4 linked regions of the Drosophila melanogaster genome follow. The protein of the gene in region 4 interacts with the protein of the main gene of each other region in a pairwise test. Each region holds a gene or a part of one and is shown on either strand. Other genes may lie near its edges.

The links.
Region 1: the proteins of Lmpt (region 4) and CG12106 interact in a two-hybrid assay, tested with the Drosophila melanogaster proteins (one large-scale study listed by BioGRID).
Region 2: the proteins of Lmpt (region 4) and CG33695 interact in a two-hybrid assay, tested with the Drosophila melanogaster proteins (one large-scale study listed by BioGRID).
Region 3: the proteins of Lmpt (region 4) and CG10265 interact in a two-hybrid assay, tested with the Drosophila melanogaster proteins (one large-scale study listed by BioGRID).

Annotation. Positions count from the first base shown.
Region 1 is NC_004354.4:9,191,673-9,196,296, forward strand, and holds CG12106 (uncharacterized protein), read left to right. Parts: upstream 1-2,225; 5' UTR 2,226-2,363; coding exon 2,364-2,535; intron 2,536-2,599; coding exon 2,600-3,063; 3' UTR 3,064-3,246; coding exon of another isoform or gene 3,247-3,549; 3' UTR 3,550-3,661; downstream 3,662-4,624. Other genes in the region: CG12057 (uncharacterized protein), read left to right, coding at 13-672; CG12056 (uncharacterized protein), read left to right, coding at 1,020-1,883; CG12118 (uncharacterized protein), read right to left, coding at 3,247-3,549, 3,879-4,430.
Region 2 is NT_033779.5:11,276,131-11,280,942, reverse strand, and holds CG33695 (uncharacterized protein), read right to left. Parts: upstream 2,923-4,812; 5' UTR 2,831-2,922; coding exon 2,813-2,830; intron 2,793-2,812; exon of another isoform or gene 2,574-2,792; coding exon of another isoform or gene 2,550-2,573; coding exon 2,458-2,549; intron 2,369-2,457; coding exon 2,270-2,368; intron 2,189-2,269; coding exon 1,480-2,188; 3' UTR 1,096-1,479; downstream 1-1,095. Other genes in the region: Ppt2 (Palmitoyl-protein thioesterase 2), read right to left, coding at 15-122, 185-326, 428-571; cana (CENP-ana), read right to left, coding at 3,608-3,688, 3,747-4,022, 4,087-4,338, 4,395-4,544, 4,606-4,806.
Region 3 is NT_033778.4:14,991,322-14,995,846, forward strand, and holds CG10265 (uncharacterized protein), read right to left. Parts: upstream 2,515-4,525; 5' UTR 2,431-2,514; coding exon 2,191-2,430; intron 2,108-2,190; coding exon 1,325-2,107; 3' UTR 1,202-1,324; downstream 1-1,201.
Region 4 is NT_037436.4:16,897,312-16,902,940, reverse strand, and holds the start of Lmpt (limpet), read right to left. Parts: upstream 3,527-5,629; 5' UTR 2,889-3,526; coding exon 873-2,888; intron 813-872; coding exon 750-812; intron 564-749; coding exon 1-563.

The sequences.
Region 1 (4,624 bases), on a different chromosome or scaffold from region 4:
AAAGTATCAAACATGAAGCAATACACCGTTGCCATTATCCTAACCCTTTTCGTTGCCAGTGGATGGGCCCAACCGCTGGACATGCCCAGCCAGCTGGACGCCCAGGTGCGCAGCGTGGTGGATGAGATGACCAGCATTGGCAAGGCGACCGGCGAGGTACTGTTGAGTCAGTACGAAGAGATCGTCCTGGAGCCGCAAAACGAATTGGAGGCAGCCGTCGAGCAGGTGGAGTCGCGTCGCGAGGAGAGTCCCGAATGCGTGGCCGCCGAGGATGAGGAGATCACCCGCATCGTGAATGCCGCCCATGAGGATCTGTACGCCTGCGGCGTTGTGGCCGCCCAGACATCCGCCGAAATTGCCTCCGATGTGAGTGCCGCCACCCAGCAACTGGTCTACGGTGGCTACAGCCTGGCCAGCACCTACAACAAATGCAACTCGTACAAGAACTCCGTGCTGAAGCAGACCTGCTTGGCCAAGTTCTATGTCCAGGCCACCGTCTATTTGGTCAGTGCGCGCTCCTCCATCAAGACCATCCGTCAGTCGACCAGCGAACGCATCCCGGACGTCTTCGCCGATGGCAATGTGTGCACCCACTCCGCATCCTCGCAGGCGGTGCTCGGTCTCCAGGAGGTGAACAACAACATCGACGCCTGCGTCTACCGTCGTCGCTAGGTGAACACAAACTTATTTACCTGGATTCTGCAAATAAAAATTATGCATGTTCTATGCCAAATGTTATTTAGTTATTTTTTTTTTTTTTGCAGTGTTGCTTGTTGCAGTGTGATTTGTGTGCTAACATTTTAGAAAGAATTTATTTTAAAGTTCAATTTTTGTGTACGAAAGTATAAATAAATAACGGAGTTAATCGAAAAACTTACATTATTATACATAGAATGAAAATACAAAATTTTAAATTCAAACCGGTTTTCCGGTCTGTTATCTGGCATGGTCACCTTAACCGTACGCTAGTTTCAATTTCAAGTGGAACCAGTTTCGGTTCCGCACTGTTAAACGGCAAGATGTTCGGATTGCTGCGACACCTGTTCAAATTTCAATTTCTTTTCGTTGTGGCAGCCGTTCTGGGCGGAATTTATCACACAGAGATTAGGCAGTTCCTGCGTCGCCAAACGGACAACTACCTGGACCAAGCTGGGCAGGATGCGAGCATTCCCCTGGCGTTCCAAGCTGGTGACGATATCGGCACGCTCTTTACACCGGCCGAGTTGGCCAAATTCAATGGCGAGGAAGAGGGTCGTCCGCTTTACCTGGCTCTACTCGGTTCCGTCTTCGATGTGAGCCGCGGCATTAAGCATTACGGATCCGGCTGCAGCTACAACTTCTTCGTGGGTCGCGACGCCTCCGTATCCTTCATTTCCGGTGATTTTGAGACGTACGATCCGGAAACGGCCGACGATGTGTTAACCCTAAAGCCGGACGACCTGATTGGTTTGGCCGGATGGCGGGATTTCTATCAAAAGGACTACGTCTACAAGGGACGGGTAATTGGGCGCTTCTACGATGAGAAGGGCGCCCTGACCACCTATCATCATAAGTTTCTGGAGCTGCTGGAGCAGGCACGAGATGCCAAGCGACAGGTGGAGGAGCTGCGTGCCCGGTATCCCGGCTGCAATATCGAGTGGAGCGAGGAGCGCGGCACTCGCGTCTGGTGCACCACGACCAGTGGCGATGGCAAGGAGCGCTCCTGGATCGGTTATCCGCGCAAGCTGTACAGTCGCGGCAACAAGAGTTTCCAGTGCGCCTGTGTGCCGGATGCGGAGCTGGACGAGATCGATGCCGGCGGCAAGGTGGCTCACGGTGATGCCATGCTGAAACCCTACGACAATTGCGAGCCACAGGCCAGGGAGTGCTTCTACAGGGTGTAGCAGCAGGGCCGGGATTTGTAAATAGTAATTAGTGCATTTGGATCAATAAATTATTAGGTGGAGTTAACATGGCTGGCGGAACTAGTTCCGGTTCTCTTCTGTTAAATTTTTAGTTGCGCTACATCGACAACAACAATTGGGAAATGTTGACATTCAAGCTAAATACTTGAGCACACTTATTTCTATCTGTAAAACCAAACCATTTATTTGCTATCAACAGCTCAACTTTATTTAAATCGTTGGATATTATTTGTTGTATCTGTAAATCAATACCCTTTAATAGACATACCAATGAACGGGACTTGGTTCTCTTTTCAACTTTAGCGAGGCCGCACTGCCTTAACAGTAACATTTCACACTTAAAAGCTGCTGTTAAGACCGTTAGCTGTGCTGTTAGGCGCATATCTTGTTTACAAGCGGTTTAATTTTATAAATATAGCTTTGTTTTAATAAATATCCAAGAAATTTAAACTATTACACATGGACACATTGCCGGGAAGTTCCTCCGCCCTGAGCACAGACGACGAGCAAACTGCCCTGATTTCCCCCACTGTGGTGGCCGGCTTAAAGAACCTGGGTGCCATCATTTCGCTGCCACTCACCAAACTGCTCATTGCCAATTCCTTGAAACTGACGCTCCATCCAGATGCCAGTGAGTTGGAAGCTGGAAATTGGTGTTTCGCGTAGACCTAATCCTAATATGTACACCCCCACAGCCATTGCTCCGGTGCCCGAGCTGTATGCCAAGAACGCCGCCTGCGCCAAACAGAGCGAGTACGCGGTGGTCACCCTCTTCGCCCTGGGCACCAAGCACGGCTGGGATGGCCTTCAATTGCGCCAGCAGCTGGAGCAACTCAACCTCGATGCAGCTGCCGTCGACGAGCTGAGTCGCGTTTACGAGGACAGCCGCAAGGATCTAATTCTCCGCCAACTGCAAATAGGCCATAGCTTTCCGCACATTACCGACATCCAGTGGCGCATCGTGTGCGACGTGAAGTCTTCCACCTCGGACTGCAGCACGGGCGCGGCCTGCTTCCACATCAATCTGGGCAACTTTCGGCAGAGCAGCGGCGAGCGGGTGACCATCGTTGAGTTTGTCTGCAATGCCGAGGAGCTGCAGTCGCTAATCAATCGTCTCAAGGAGATCGAGCGGCACTGCCAACAGATGGCCGTGGTCTAGGGAAACAAGCTCTTCAAATTCTTATCGATTATATTTCGCAGCATATAACACCAGCATTGTCGGCTATATACAGTGTCGGAACAGGAAACCTAAACAGTTAACACAGTCATCATCGCTTAAAAGGCTACGGCTTCATCATTTGGAGTCCAACTCCAATGGCAACCACTTCGTTGATCATCCGCGTCAATGGGCAACCTTGTGCGGCGGCGGCACAAGCAGCTTCATCAGCTGCCCATAGTGATTCGGCGCTGTGCTATAGATGGTGCCCGAGAAGCGGGTGCTGTCGTTCTTCTCGGCGGAAATCACTGTGCAACGGTTCTGTTCCGAAAGCCGCATGTTTAGACCACGGAAGCGTGAGTCCAGCCTGTATAGATTAGCCCCTTCCCGTGGTAGAAAGAATGGACGTCCGCTAAACGGATTCATGAAGTCCGCCCAGTAGCCGTACGATAGCAGGCGATCGCACATCTCCCGCGCTGCCAGGACAAACTGCAAAGGTAGTTGGCATTAGTTATGTATGTAGATATACTCGTTTAGATAATAGGTAAATACCAACAAACTAACTTCTCTGTATTCTCATTCATCAACCCAAATCTAAAACTTATTACAAATGATTGAAAATGTTATGGCTTACTTTAAAATTGGGTGCCAAACTTAAGGAAGGTCAACCCACCTAGCTTTCAACGTGCTAAACTGGTTTGATTGTATATAAACAAATGATCAGAGCAATAACGAGGTCATTCCTCCAATTCATCCAAATACACTGCAGTGTGATTTCCCGCTACAGTGTGGATGCGTGAATAAAACTGATTTCTCACCTTGGCAGCGCCCATTTCGATGTCTCCTTCGTGGCTGAGAACAAGCATGGTGATGTTTATGCACTGCTGTGCGACGACGGGTACCGGGAAGATCTCCAAGAGTGGCACACGGATAAGCAGGGGACACTTACAGCAGGTGAATTCCAGGCGCGATTTGTCCGTATTGGGACCCTTGTGAAAGTTAACCAGGTGGCCAAGCGGCTCGAGCAGACCGACGGTGGTGCTGTCGCCCTGCCAGGCGGGCCCAATGCCATTTGGCAGATAGAAGCGATTGCCTCTTTCGGCGGTCAGTTCCCAGTTGGGCTCACTCTCCAAACTATTTAGCTCATCGTCGTCGTCGAGATCCCGCGACTTGACGGTCTTAAAGTATCCGCCGGCATCCGACGGTGGGCCATTTCGCTTGGAGTATCTAGCCACCGGAATGATGGCCGTGTTGGTCACCTTGGTGCTCAGTAGGTCGTTCAGTCTGTTGGATCCGCGATGTACGGTATGTGAAATGGACAGGGATGGCGCCCAGATGGTACCCAATACGCGACTCAATGATCGAGACATTATTATATCATATGCTTCTGTAAATGCGTAGAATCTGCTGGCAATCAGTGCTATTTTGGATGCGAGATGCAATGCGACGACAATGGTGCTTACCTTGGATGGCGGAACTGGATTTGGAGTGCTGTGCTCTGCAGACGCTTTCAAATAATGCCGGATTTTATGTGGCTTTAGAATTTTACGTTGAATTTTGTTTT
Region 2 (4,812 bases), on a different chromosome or scaffold from region 4:
TTGATCTCACTTACTGCCGTATTGCCCCGCCTGTGGCGAGGATAGAGATATAAAGGTCTTCACATTGTGCTCGGGCAGACTTTGGATGGCCGCCCGGGCCAAAAGGCCTCCTTGTGAGTATCCTGAAAAAGGCATAGTATTGGTAACTAAAAGAAAATACTCTAATGAAAATCGGCTGCCTTACCCAGCACAATGATGCCCTCTGGATGCAGTTTGCCCACCTCGTTGAGATAATCCCTAACCTGATCGACCTGTCGCCAGGCGTTCTCCAAGCTGTACCATCCATTGAACTTGTCGCAGTTGTAGACGATAGTGCCAGGATGAAACTACAAACGGACGAAATGAGTTTATCAGTGCTACTGCGTTGTTTGCGTCAAATTCGACCTTGCCACTGTAAACAATAACAAAGGGGAATCGAAAAACAAACCTCTTCGATTTCCCGGACCAGAGAGGCCATCGATTCGGCTCCTGATAGAATTCCATGGAGTATGACCACCGGTTTGTAGGCCAGTGAGACGGAAATGGACGAGCAGGTTAACAGGGCCACCAGGACTTGCAAACGAAGTCTCATTTTGTGGGGAACAATGGATTTCCGACTGTTGTTGTTGATGTATCCGTATCTTTATTAGCCGCTCTTCTTCTTGCTACCCGCTTTGGAAATTCTGAAAGTGCGGATTTGAAATCCGACATGCGAATGGCAATGTATGGGTTGCGAGCGCAATTATGAGCAGAACGAAATTTGAAAATGCATTCGAAATTTCTCGAGACTTCATTGTACAATAATTGGATGAATTTAAAATACGTGGTGTGCATTTAAAAGGAAAGGTTTATAAAATAGGTCCCATAAATTGGATGGGTACATTCAAATAAAGATAAAATGCAATATAATTTAGCGGACCATTAGAAACACAATTGAGTTTGCATTGGGTGCTTTAAAAATATAATTATATATATGCTTTTATAATACAGTCTGATCAAAATAAAAGTATGAAGTACAAATTACAGCAATGAGATTGTAGAAGCCATTGCAAATAACTAAATTTCTACGCTCCTTGGGCTTTCCTAACTCCAATAAAATCCCAGAGATCGCCGAATCTTAAAATAATGCTCGTTTATTCACTCTCAACTTACACGATCGTCGTTATGTACTTTGCACTATTGTGTCTTGCGTAAATTTAAGTCTAGGCGGCGCATATACGCTCCGCAATTAATATCTACGCTCTGTGGCTGGCGATCCACAGACTCGTCCTCCACATCGCACAATTCATTTGTCATCCGGGGCCCGGAACAAGGTGATTTCAGGGTATATCAAATATGACAACACTTAACAGTTTAGACTTAGGGCTAGGGCGGCATCTCAACCTTTTTGCTTAAGAGTTCTCGATCTGGATTTGTAGCGGTTCTGTTCCAAGTTACGTGATTCGTTCTGCGGCCGGAGATCTAGTAGAAGAAGTCCAGCCCGTTCCGAGGGCTCGAACCTCACCCGGCCACCTCCTCGCTGACAAAATCCAGCTTGACCACCTCTGCGGGCAGGCACTCCTCCACGTCCACCTCGTTCTCCTGGACATTGATGCGATTGAGGGTCATGGACACGTCTGGTCCGCACTTTAAGCCTGCTGGCGCCCCTGCTGGCGATCCTACTGTCGCCGCTGCCGCTGGAGGATTGGAGGTGCTAACCACATCGTCGGCAATCACCACCGTGGGCGAGAGTACTGTTGGAACAGTGGACACTGCCGACACAACGGGCACCACGATCTGCGTCGACGAGCAGGTGGACACCATATGTGGCTGCTGCACCACTGTCGCCGTAGTCGAAGTGGGCTGCTGGATAATGATGTTCTCCGTGATGGTGGGCGTGTTGTTGGCCGTCGAGGCTGCAGCCTGGGCTGCCGCTAATGCCGCAGCCTTCTGCATCTGCTGGTACTGCTTAACAGTCACCGTCGTGCCCGTCGTAGTTGTATTAGACTGTGGATGCAGGATGATCTGCTTTGGCTGCGCCACCAGCTGTACGTGCTGCACGATTGGCTGTGACTTGAATACTTGAGGAGGTGGCTGCTGAAGGGGCTGCTGCGGCTGCTGTTGTGGCAGCGTCTGGAGAACGTGTTGCACCTGCTGGACGGGCACTTGCTTGGCGGGAATGCCGGCGTCCTCGAAGGCCTTCTTCTTCAGCGCCTGGCGGATCTGAGAACTGCAATGGGGAAGGTCAATTAAAACTAGCACGTACACACTGGGCAGCCGGTTCCCTCGCCAGGAGCACAGGATCACTTACACGGTGCGGTTCTTGATGCTTAGGCTGATCTTGGTCAGGTCGTCGGAGAAGCGCATTATGGACGAGTGCAGCATGTCGATCTCCTCGTCCGTCCACTTCCTGCAGCCGTGGCGAGGGAACAAGGCACACAGAAACACTCCGATTAGTGTCCACAAAACTCGCGACTCCACCGCATAGAATCAACTTACCCCGATGGCGACTCCGCATTGGGATGCAGCTGCATGGTTAGATCGCCCAGTCTGCTGAACGCCTGTCCGGCGGCCGTGAATATCTCCCCCACCTGCAAGTGCATGCGGATTTGCATCCGGAGTCAGTTTGTTGTTACCGCGTGCAAATTCAAAACAAACGCACCGCCCCTGCCCACCGCCCGCCGGCCCACTCACGGTGGAACAACAAATTTCCCACTCGCAGGAGTGAGACAAACGAATGACTCTCGACTCTCTCCCGCGCCGCCTTTTTCTCGCTTGCAACGCGCGGAGGCGCTGGCGACGGGATCAACGCGGTCGGAGCTGCCGGCGGATGTGGTGGAGCGGCTGAACCTACCTTGATTGCCGAGTTCATGGCCTTTTTTCGCGGGGCGCTGTTTTTTTGTCGTAATTTTACGTAGTTTTGCGTCCGCAGCTATTCAACACTGACGCCGTACACAACACTCAAGCGGCCGTCAATTTTCCAATGCACAACACTAGAATATGTATTTGCGCTACTATCGACTTATCGATTGGTGCAATCGGGAATTCAAACAAGAAGCGTTATGCTTATTTAGATTTACATTTAAGTAATTTATGTCTTTTATTATTAGAACCAGCAACTTATGCGAATCTGATTTTAACATTAAGAAAATGTAAATAGTTTATTCAATGCTATACATATGAACCAAATATTATTACACATGATGAAGGAAACATTTCTTAATTAACAATATTTAACTATTTATCGAATTTAACTATTAAACAAAAACCAGCATAATACAGATTTAAATTTAAATACTACGATCACGATTGTTTTTGTAATTTTTGTATTGATAGTATTTGACAAATACTTAGGGCGTAAATATAAATAGAAAACTTTATGATGTGGAATTCCACCGTTTGCAAGATAACACCTAACAAAAGAAATCCCTAATACTTGGATAACATTAATCATCTTTTTTATCATCGTTGAACTCAACGTTTTGCCTCCAGTCCGAACTCAGTCTTTGTTTGCAGCTCCGCTGCTCGCAGTGGCAATTGCCACCTGCAATATTAGTTAAAACCACATAAAGTTTAGACGATTTCGCGGCCAAGCAAACCTTAACTTACCTAAAGGAACGGTCGTAGTTCCGCCGTCACGTAAGTCGTTTCAGCAAAACTGCTTACGGTTCTCATCGTAGGCCGTCATCCGTCGATTCTTCCGCTCCGCAGTCTCTAGGCTGCTGGATTTCTTTACGAGAGAAATAAAAAAAATATTACATGCTTGAAATTTAGAAGATCATACGTACCTTTGGCACACATTCAGCGGAATTGCAGTCCAGGGGCTTCTTTGTTGCTGGAACAGCTGCAGGAGTCGGCGATCCATTCGAGGAATTCAACTCAATGGACACATCGCCTCCGTTCACTTTTTGCGTGTGTAAAGCCGGCAGTTCGCGCTTTAGCTTAGCCAGGAGCTCGGTGACTGTGCACAACTTCTCCTCAAGATTACGCTTGTCTTCTAACAGGCTAGAGATGGTGCCGTCCATGCGTTCCTTCTCCGATCGAAAGTTGATTTCCCTGGTTTTCTAGGCGATTTAAAGAGAAAACATTAAGCTATTTTATAAGAGCCTTTGATTGCAATTATTCTACCAGAGTTGATCGTAGTTCTTCGTACTCCCTCGTACGTTTATCAACCTTCTGTTCCATCTCGAGGCTTCTTTTATTGGCCGCTTCTATGGCTAAACTTTGCTTAATCCATGCCTTTCGCAGTGATGTAAAGGCGGTTTCATTGGATTTCAACTGGGCGTCAAGTAGTGCGTTTTTCCCATTCTTCTCATTAATAACAGTCAGCCTTTCCTCTAACTCTTGTTTATTCTGTTGCAGTATAAGTTCCTTTGATTCCTAAATAAATATTTCATTAGCGACCGAATAACCTACAAAGACAAGTCTAATATTACCAATGTTGAACGGAGCTTTTCGCAATCCTCTTTGAGCGCCTTGTTACCCGAACTCAACTTTTCCTCCATCTTGCGGTTTTCCTCCTTTAGATTAGAAATTGTTTCATCCAACAGTTGCTTTTGCGTTTGGAAATATTCTTCTTTGGATTGCTGAAAAATTTTAATTACCTATATTGTAATCAACCAGATAGATTACCAGATTAATTATTACCAGATCGGAACGTAAGCTCTTGCACTCTTTTGTGAGATCGTGAAGATTCTTCTTCATTTCGAGATTTAAATTATTTGCTGCTGTTATGTCTGATAGATAATTTTTCGAGGTTTCTAGCAATTGCTCATTATGCAACCGAAGATCGGATATAGTCAAGTTCAAAGTTTCCCTTTCTTTTAGGAAATCATTAGTTTGAGCTTCCTGGTA
Region 3 (4,525 bases), on a different chromosome or scaffold from region 4:
TGATTCGAGAGAGCTAAAAAGAAAAGGATTGAATGATATGCAAACAATAAGCAGCTTTAAGTTAATGTTAAAACCCTAAACTAATAAACCCAGGTAGACTCACTAATTTAATTCAAATGGGCACATGCACTAAGTAGTTTAGCCTAAAAATACCACGAAAATGAAACTCTGAATAAAAACAAGTGTCGAAATGTAACGAATTCAATTAGATAATTAAGCCTGAAACTCTCAAAGCTAAATGTAGTGGATTATTAAAAGGAAAATGCAATGCAGTTTTGTTCGGTGCCCGAGAGTTAAGTAAGGAAATGAACTACAAGTATTTGAAATAGAAATAATATTGAAACTTGAAATGAGAATAAAATTGAATTCTAATTCAAATTTATAGGTGTTTTACTGGCGGATTAAATGTATATTAAATTATAAGTGCTTTAGTAGTGGGACGTACCAAGATTGTTAAAAAACATCTGTTTTTTAAGTCTGGGCTTGGTGACCTTTACAGAGAACTAAACTTAAGGTTCGCTGTCAATGATGCAACTGCAGCCGAAATATTGCAAATATTATAAAATTCACCAAACAAAACACAAGCGGTTCTAAAAATTTCAAAATGATGTCATTTTCACTGCATTGAATGCCAAATCTAAGGTGGCAAAATAAATATTCTGTCCCCAAATTATGTAAGCCCGAATTGGCTGCCATCGTCGTCAGCTGACCTACCTTTTAATTGGTACCGCCTCGGCAGGTGGGTGTGCACACGCGAATTTTGGATTTGGATTCGGCAGTGTTTCGAGTACTACAAAATATATATAACGCCGGGCGCAAGCACAAATATTTCCAATTACTTTCGACCGAAACGCGTGCGGCACCAAAAATCAACAAGCTGCTTCTTCTTCTTACACAGTGATGCCAACTTTTCAGCTACATAAATGGACAACATAAAAAAAGCTAGGACTGTTAACATTTTGTATGGAACATGTGATTACCGTCTTCAAAGTATTTAAACGGCATTGTTTGAGTGATATATAGTTTTAATTATTTAATATAGTTCAATACATTTATAAGCTAAATAGCCACCACTAGTGTATAGTCGATATATTAAATCGATAACGTTGTCGCATCAAAAGGTCACACTGCTTGAGCAAAAAAACCAAAATAAAACATTTAAAATTAAGCGATTTGATAATAAAGAGACTCGCTTGCTATTAAAGTTATAAACGCTATCCGGGAATTTATTAATCTCCATTTAAATTAAATAAAGTTATATTGCTAAATCCTCGCCTCCAGAGGCACATTTAATGGCACCATCCTTACACTACGGCGAATACAACTACGATTTTCTTACTTTGGTGCATCTGATGCCCTTGGATTGCAGTTTTCTCATGATGTCCAAGGTCTCTTGATTTTTGGTTGGATTTAGCTCAGTCGTGGCATTCAATTGGGTACTTGCTCGCTTCACCTCCACACCGCATGCTCTGAGTTTGTTTAGGATTTTCTGGGTGCCATCCAATGGAGGAGTTGATTTGCTTGTTATGGTAGGAACTGGTTTCTCGGGCGTCTTGGGAGGTTCTGGTACTTCAGATATCCTTGAAGAGACTGGTATAATAAGCTTCGATGCAGGAGAAAATTTCATGGGTACCAATTGAGATGTTGACTGCGTTGTCCCGGTAGCACGAGATTGCAATGACCTTACAGGATGTACAGGAGCTGGTGGTGCCTCTGGAATCCTTTCCTTTTTCTCCGTGTCCTGCAATCGCTTCAGATCTTCCAGCACAGTGGGCACCAGAATGATGGCCTTTTTCATCTTTACTGCTGGCGGTTGAGGGGAAGTCAAGCAGGCACGGGATCTGCGCTGCTGCTGGGAGGTCAGAATGGTACGTCGGGTGGTGGGAGGGCTACGCGGACGTTTCGCAGGCACCCCTTCCGGTTCCTGAGGCTCCTTGGCGAGCGGCACTACATCCTCCTTTACTATATTTTCCTTGGAATTTGTCTTTGGTATGGTCTGCACGGTGGGCTTGGGATTGGTGTACCAGCGTGGATCCTCCAGCTCTGCCTCCCAATCGATGGCCGTGTTGGTGTTCTTCTTAACCGCCTCCAGGTCGTAGATGTGAATCTGCAAGAAGTGAGTTCAATCAAAAGGATTCTCAGGAAGTTTTCAGGGCAACGCCGGATCATGGAGCTCCCTTAGCTGCCTACCTCCTGTCTGCCATTCACCAGTCTCGTTTCCCGATTGGCATCATCAAATGCCAGCGGTTCGATCGGCGTTACTATGTATTTTACTCCGGGGCAATCGGCTAGGTGGCGTTGGAACGATTGGAGCGTCATAAAGTGGCATTCGCAGCTGCGGCACAGCGTTAGAAGTCGTTTTTGGTCGTCGTATAGAACGTCGCCAAGGCGAATCGTCTTCATGGACTTTATTTTACGCGATCCATTCATTTTTTTTGTAGCCAATTCGCGCCAAGAAGAAAAATGGTATTAAAAAATTATTTCAGTTTGTTTTTGCATTCGTGCAGAGTGGCCAGACGTTGAAACGTAGTAGATGTCAACGATTTTTAGTTGGTACAAAATCTGACATAAAAATACCAAACAGTTGCTATTCATTTTGTTGCGCGCCTAAATTCAAAGCACACAAAAAACCAAATAGGAAAAACACATTACACATTAAAAAAAAAAACATTTAGATATAAGATTTGATAAGGATGACGATATATAAATGGTATAATAAAATGTTTGGAATAATTTAATATAAATATTATATAAATAATTTATGTTTATATGTAGTTTTGCTCAGATTGATAAAAAATAGATGAAAACATACTTTCACTATGTAAAATAGAACGATTTTTTTGTTTACGGTTTTTGGTCCATGAATCGAAAATTACTGGAAAGATTTTATTTGAACTGCTCCTGCTCATTTTTTGCTGCATTAATAGTAACTCTCTGCTTTCTTTTACATTGTCGAATAAGTGGACTAGCGTTTTCTTTGTTCTTTTTCCCGTGTTGGCTTTTGTTTCCTTTGATTAACGCCCATGCAATTGAAATTAAATCGCTTGCAAATGATTCGCAAGCTACCTAAAAAAAAATTGGGCAATCCAAAAAATGACATCGTTTATGCAGCCGGGGACTGCGCCATTTGTAAGCTTGCCATTTTTTCGACCAATGTGATATGGAGCCATATGGAGGGAACATTGTCTGATTTTGACTTCAACTCGAATGTCTGTCTAGTGTGTGTGGAAAACAAATGAAAAGGAAATCCAGCACTTTTTGCGTACCTACATATATATTAAATTTTTTTTTTTTGTTGTTGTAATGTTCCGCATAACGAGCACGGACCATGTCGAACCACGTGCAGCATAATCACCCGGCAGAGCGTAGGTGAGTATCGTTGGCATATTCTTGATATTTTTCAAACTGGCCCACTTTTGGTTGAATTTTCCTGCTATTCTTGCAACTTAATAAGTGAACTTTAAAGAGCCGCATCGCTTACAGCCCGGAAATTGTATGGATCTGTGGGTCGCAGCTCCAGCGGCAATTGGATGAAGTTGCCGATGCTGATGAGGCTGCTCCTGCAGTTGCTATTCCTGCATGCAATTAAGCCAGGGACGAGAGCGAGGCACAACTTGCCACTCTGTGTGTCCCAAAACTGCAAGCTGACCATGCAAATTACGTTGCCCACACTCATACTTGCACACGCTCTGCTACACACACGCATTCCTGTCGCCTCGTTTGGGGGCCTGCGGGGCTCCCCGGCATTTGAGTGATGCACCAAGTCGAGGAAGCGGAGAAGGTGGCCAGCTAGCTGGAACCCCATTGCCGCTGCCACTGCCACTACTACTACTACTACTAACTGCCACTGCCAAAGCTAAGTTAAATGGACCTGCGGTGCACTCGAGCAGCCAGGACGCAAACTACAGTGGATACCGCTTAAAGTATATAACTGTTATTATTTGTATTGTTTATTGTACTGATCCTAAATAGAAGATATTAGCTTCCCTTAAAACGCCTGACTGTGCTGTGATGCTTCTACACAAATTAGACACAATTCGAAACTAGCTTGTTGGCTGCTAACAGTTTGGATATAGCCAGGCACCACTGTACGCCGTGCATGCAGATTGAAGTGCAGACCATGTCAAGGTAGCGGCTGCAGCTTTGGCCAGTAGATTAAATTAAACGTGGCAAAGGAGACGGCGCCAGAAGAGGACGAGCTCCGTGGCTAGGTGGCTCCATGGCTCCATGGCTGCATGGCTCCGTGACTCCGAGGGCTCGCCAGCCAGCCAGCTTGCCAGGAGGAGCAACTGCAGCCATGCGATGGCAATGGCAACGGCAACGACAATGGCAACAACATTAAACGTGTTTACACCATGTCCGACCAGTTGATATGCCAACTGCCCCCCGACCTGTCCTGCACCCCACCACACACACACACACTCACTGGCACACACACACACATAGGGATGCGTAACCAGGCATGAACTGCTCTTGGACAATGAACACATGCCATGGCAGGGCATTACCACCTACCCATCTGTCC
Region 4 (5,629 bases):
TCTTCCAAAACAGCACCAAGTGCAGAGCTTTCAAGTGGTTCGTGAACCATGGGTAAGATCGATTTACCATCCCTGGCATCATCGGCTACAGTTTGCACTTGAAGTTGGTCATTTGTAGATTCGGTTTCATTCAAGTTCGACTCCAGAAGCTGAAGTACAGACTCGCAGTTTAGTTCGCCTGCCATTACACCTTCCTGAGTGTCGTCGTAAACCTCCAGCGACCGCTCCGTGTCCCCATCCATCAAATTTGCCACATTCTTGGGAGCTGGTGAGGGATTTCGCGATGCCGAACGGGATCTCGATGGGTTTACGGATGCGGTAAAGTCGTAGAAATCGCTAAGTCCTTCCATTAGCAATCCGTACTGATCCCGCCAAGGAGCCGTATCCGGCTGCTGGACATTGATGGCTGGTGCTGTTCGCGGTGGCTGCTGTTGCACTGACTGCTGCTCCTGGCTGGCGGACCAGCGCTCCGGATAATGCTCCATTTCATCCATACGTGGACTGCGTCGCAAGCCAGGTGAACCACCCCTTGATTGCTCCTCTGCTGCGATAGAGGTTTGCAGCTTTTTGGGGGAAAGGTGAAGCGGAAAAGCAAGCGGAATGTGGGAGCAGTAGCAATATGAAAAGCAAAGAGGTAAAGCAGTTAGGACAGTTAGTTATGCGGCAGTGGTGTCTGCGATTGGTGGATTAGGTTGTGGTCGAAATTATTGGGTGAGAAATGATGCCAGGTGTCTGTGCTACGCACTTACATTGGATTTGTTGCTGTCGCTGGTATCCACTGCTTGCGGGTTGTCCTTCTCCGCTTCTTTGTCCTAACACACACATAATAAATCATTGATATAGATCCTCGGCTTGTAGATTCATTTACTCACCAACTGCTCCTTGGAAAGTTGTTGTTTTAGGGCAGCCACTGCCTGTTCGTTTTGTGCCTCAGTGGCCTCTTCAAAGGAGGACGATTTTGGCTCATTTGTAGCTTCTTCCTCCACATCCTCTCCCCTGGATGGTCTTTCTAGTTCGATTTCCTCCTCGTCTATGGAGAGCGCTTTTTCCCGCTTCCAAAACTCGGTATCCTTATAATGCTCCGGCACAACCTCACCCCAGGGATTTGTGCTCTCCTCACCGAGCATCTCTAAGGATGTGGTCGACTCTGCCGTTGGTCTAACATCCTTTGCTGGACTCCTTTTGTGACGTCGGTGGGATTTAACCCTCAGGGTAGGTTCGCTCGTATACTTGATGGGGTTATAGTCCTCTCGGTCGCCGTGGCGCAACTCCTCCTCCTCTAGCGAGGTGAACATCTTTAGTTCTTCGTCGCGGGAGGCTCGCGATTCCCGCGAGGAGTTCGAGCTTCCACTGGATCGTCGCTTCTTAAAAGCCCTTCTTCTCCCTGAACCATCCTCTCGCATCAAAGGACGATTCTTAATGCCATCTAGAGAACGAAGGTAGTCCTCGGTGTACTGGACTTCCTGTATCTGATCTTCTCCTTCAGGTTCTGGGCGTTCACTTTCGATTCTGTTGCCCTCATCAGAGGGCTGCGTGCTGAAGGACGACTGCTGGATGGAGAACGGAGTTTTGGGTTCAAGAGAGGATCCTTCATCCGATACGCCAGGGAAGGTGAGTGTTTTTGACTTTGCTGAGTAGGCGTCTTCAGGACCACTTCCTTGACCAAATTGAGTTTTCACTTTATGCACCATGGGTTCTTCTGGAGGCTCCTGAAACCTGGGTGGAGCCACTTTCTTCACACACAGCTCCTCCACCACGGGTTCCATGCCAGCATACTCGTCTGCCTCCTCTTTGCTGTGTGAGGCTTGAAGTTGGCGCTGTTGTAACATTACCATCTCCTCTTCTGCCTCAAGAAAGCGTCTGGCGTTTTCCTCAATCATTCGCTGTTTTTGCTCCAGATCAGTTCTGCTGGAGATCAGGCGACGCGACTGCTCTGCGATGGCAGCATCCTCCTCCAGTTCGCTCTCTGTAGCGCTTGGACTGAGCTCTCTTTCTGCTGCCAGAAGACGCTCTACGATCTCCGCATCCCTCAGTGCTTGCCCTTCTTCGTCAGCTTGATCGCGCTCTCGCTGAATCTCGGCATCAAAGAGACGACGCTCGGCTTGCGCTGCCTCGGCTTCAGCCAGGATCCTTTGTTGTTCGGCTCGCTCCTTTTCGGCTTCGGCCTGCTCTCTCTGACGCTCTGCCACGACGATTCTTCTTTCGCTTTCTTCTCGCTCGCGCTGCTCTTCAGCTTCTTGCAGTCTTCGCTCATTCTCCTCCCTTTCCCGTTCGGCATCTATCAGCCTTCTTTCGTTTTCTAGGCGTTCTTTCTCCTCGTTTTCGCGCTGTTTACGCTGATTTTCTTCTGCTTCTAGCTGTCTGCGTTCGGCTTCTCTTTGTTCCTGCAGTTCTTTCTCCGCCTGCTCTCTTTCGCGCTGTCTTTCCGCCTCTACGAGCTTTCTCTGCTGCTCCTCCGATTCCTCTTTCTCCCTCTGGACTCGTAGTCTTTCTTCTACCAGCTTGGCCTCGGCTTCGGCCAGCTGACGCCTCGTATCGGCTTCAATTTGCTGTTGACGTGCCAGTTCGGCTGCCAAAGCTTGTCTTTTATCTCCAGCAGGATCTACTCGTATTCCATTGACATATAGGACACCATCCTGCATGACATTGGTTCCTGCCAGGGCTTCCCTTTCCGCCGCCTCCTTGATCTGCTTATCCAATCGCTCTCGCATGCGAGGCAATTCTTCTGCGTCAGCTGCTGCATCTACAGAAGAATCGCCGGGATGTTGGAAAGTCCAGTGGTATAGATGGCGCGCCACAAAGGCGAATTCCAGGGCACCTAGGTATCCAATTAGCAGCGAGAATAGTAGCTCGCCGACGCCGGTTAGCGCCGTCTCCTCAGCGGCCATTGCGTAATGACCAGAATCGAAACGGAATCCGAATCCTCCAACGTTCGCCGATGCAATGAGAGTATGTGTCGACGAGAACCGAATCGGCTAACACGTATTATATAAAATATATTCACCACGCACTCGAAAATTCACACCACTCACGTTAATGGCCAGCCGATTAGGTAATTCGAAAAATATTTATTTCACTTTCGCTCACAAATCATTGAACCAATCATCGATATATATTCATTTATCTACGTTTTGAGACGATTTATGAGAGCGCGAAGCAAGAAGAATCGGAGATGGGCGGACTCGCCAGGCGGATGCAGTTGCTCGGGCGGCGAGCTCTTGTTTTCCGCTAATCGATCGTCTTGCAACTGATTAATGCCCCAGCCAATGCCCATGGGTCCCCCGATTTCTAGAGAACAAGTGAATCAGCGGCGAGAGAACCGCCAAGAACCGAATCCGTTCAAATGGCAAACGGCGCTAATTGACGGCCAGCGATGAGAGCAAAAGGCCTGTAGAGCTGACAAGACATCGCCGACTTTTGTCGCTGGCAATTTGGCAACACAAATGTATCTGCTTCTGTCCGCTGCCGTTGTTGCACTGCCTTGCCTCCGTGTCAAATGCCAAAGCAATCGGAATTGGCCAAAGCCGATTTTCTAATCAGTTTAGTCGACACCCCGCCGGCCGCGCCCCCTTTTCGTTTGGGGGGAACTATTTTTGGTCTATGCTTCGATTGCTGTTTTCCACAAAACACTTTTCGCCACTTTCTGCTTTGCTCGCCGTTTTCGTGCGGGAGAACAGTTAGCGACATGACCATAAATCGGATAGGGAAAATCAAATGCAACTGTCATTTCGATAACATAATGAAGAGTTTTTTAATCTCAAGCAAGTATCAAGATTTAGGGATCTTTTCTTTCCTATCCTTTTATTCAGGTTTAAAAATTCAATTTATCAAAATTAATCAGAAAATGTTTCTTTTGATATTTTAAAATAATAAAAAATCAAGTATTTTCTGAAAAACATGATCTTTCTATACTGCATACCACACATATTATTCAGACGCACAGTTGGCTGCAATAATATACAGAGCTAAGGTGCCAATTTCCATAAAAATGCTTAATTTGGCATTAATGGTCACATCGTATCTCCGATTTTAGAAAAAATAACATTTAAGAGTACAATGTTGAGATACAATTTTGTTTATAAAATGCCCAATTCTTTTGTTTATTTTGCCAATAAAATTTGGTATTCTCGAAAGTGGGAAAAATATATTTTAGCATTCGTAATTCTTATGGGCATGACTTTTACTGTTCCTGGTGTTTGCAAATCAGTTTTCTTTGGCATTGCCAGCGCCTGGGGCCAGGGTCGCCACGCCCCATTTCGCCGCCTCCGAGCGGATTGCACACAAATGTTTGCCATAAATTTCGTCTTGGCACTGACACTAACATTGCCAGCAGCTTTCAGAGGCTCTTTATCGCCGATTTCGCTGTGGTTCTCTTCTGCGTTTTCAGAATCAGTATAATTATTGTCAAACGCGGCATAATTGTGTTCTTTGCCCCACAAAGCCAAACTATTTTTGTATTCTTTTGTTTATTCTCATCATCTGATTGTCATTAGAAATTGTGGCAAAAATAGATAGATTTATATGAATAAATGGGTCATCTGGGCTCTGATATATTCATATGTTTATTTTGCTTTTCGCAACGAAAGCGAAAGTGTTTCTGATGGTAATTTAAATTTATTTTGAATAAATTTAAACATGGTTTTTTGTACAATAACACCGAAAGGCGACAGACAATGCAATTTCTTTATCCAACATTTTCTAATTAAAAATCGATCAACACGCATATAAAAAAAATTTATTTACTTGCATATTACACCCCCAATCTATTTAAAATCAAAATAAATGGATAAAGGATATTTTCAATCGAGCTAAAGCAGTTTGTGCACATCAATAACAAATTGCGAATACCTGCAGCAATTTTTAGCAATCTCTAACCTTAACCGAATGCCACAAATTTCCGGCTCACTCGCAATGAACTTCCGCTCGACGGATGACAACGCGTCAACAGCCAGTGCTGCCAATGAACTGCCTTCATTTCTTTGTTGCCATCGCCACTCGCGAGTCGCTGCATTTGCGGAGCTGGAGGATAGATATCCCCGGGATCCCCGACTCCCACAGGCAGCCAAGTGAAGTTCAATGAAAATGCCATAACCTTTGGAAAGGGCGATTGCCGCACCTATGCAATAAACGTGAACTGCGTGCGGCGGGCGATAAAAACCAGAGCCCGTGACAGCGAGCACTCACTCACACGGACACTCTTGATTTGCCAGGCGACACACAGATACCATCTGCAGACGTTGCCCCAAAAGTGTGCCACACAATATTTGTCAATTAGGGATCGGATAGGTGGGGTTATGCCAAAGACGACTCACCTCATCACAGCCAGCGCAGCGGGGCTTCAGCATTTCCGCATAGTGGCGCTCGCAGTAGACCTTGTCGTCGTGGACGCAGTAGGTGAGGTCCACGAGTAGCGAGTTGCAGGTGCTGCAGGTGAAGCACTTTGGGTGCCACATCACGCTCTCCACAAACTTGGGCGCCGCCACAACTAGCTCGCCGGCGGCTATCTCGTTATCACAGTGCGCACAATGCTCATCGTAGGGGGCATCCTTGATGTAGGCTATTCAACAGGAAAATAATGCAAAACGCAATTAGTTAGGTCACTCTGGGTGAGGTCAGGCAATTTAAACTA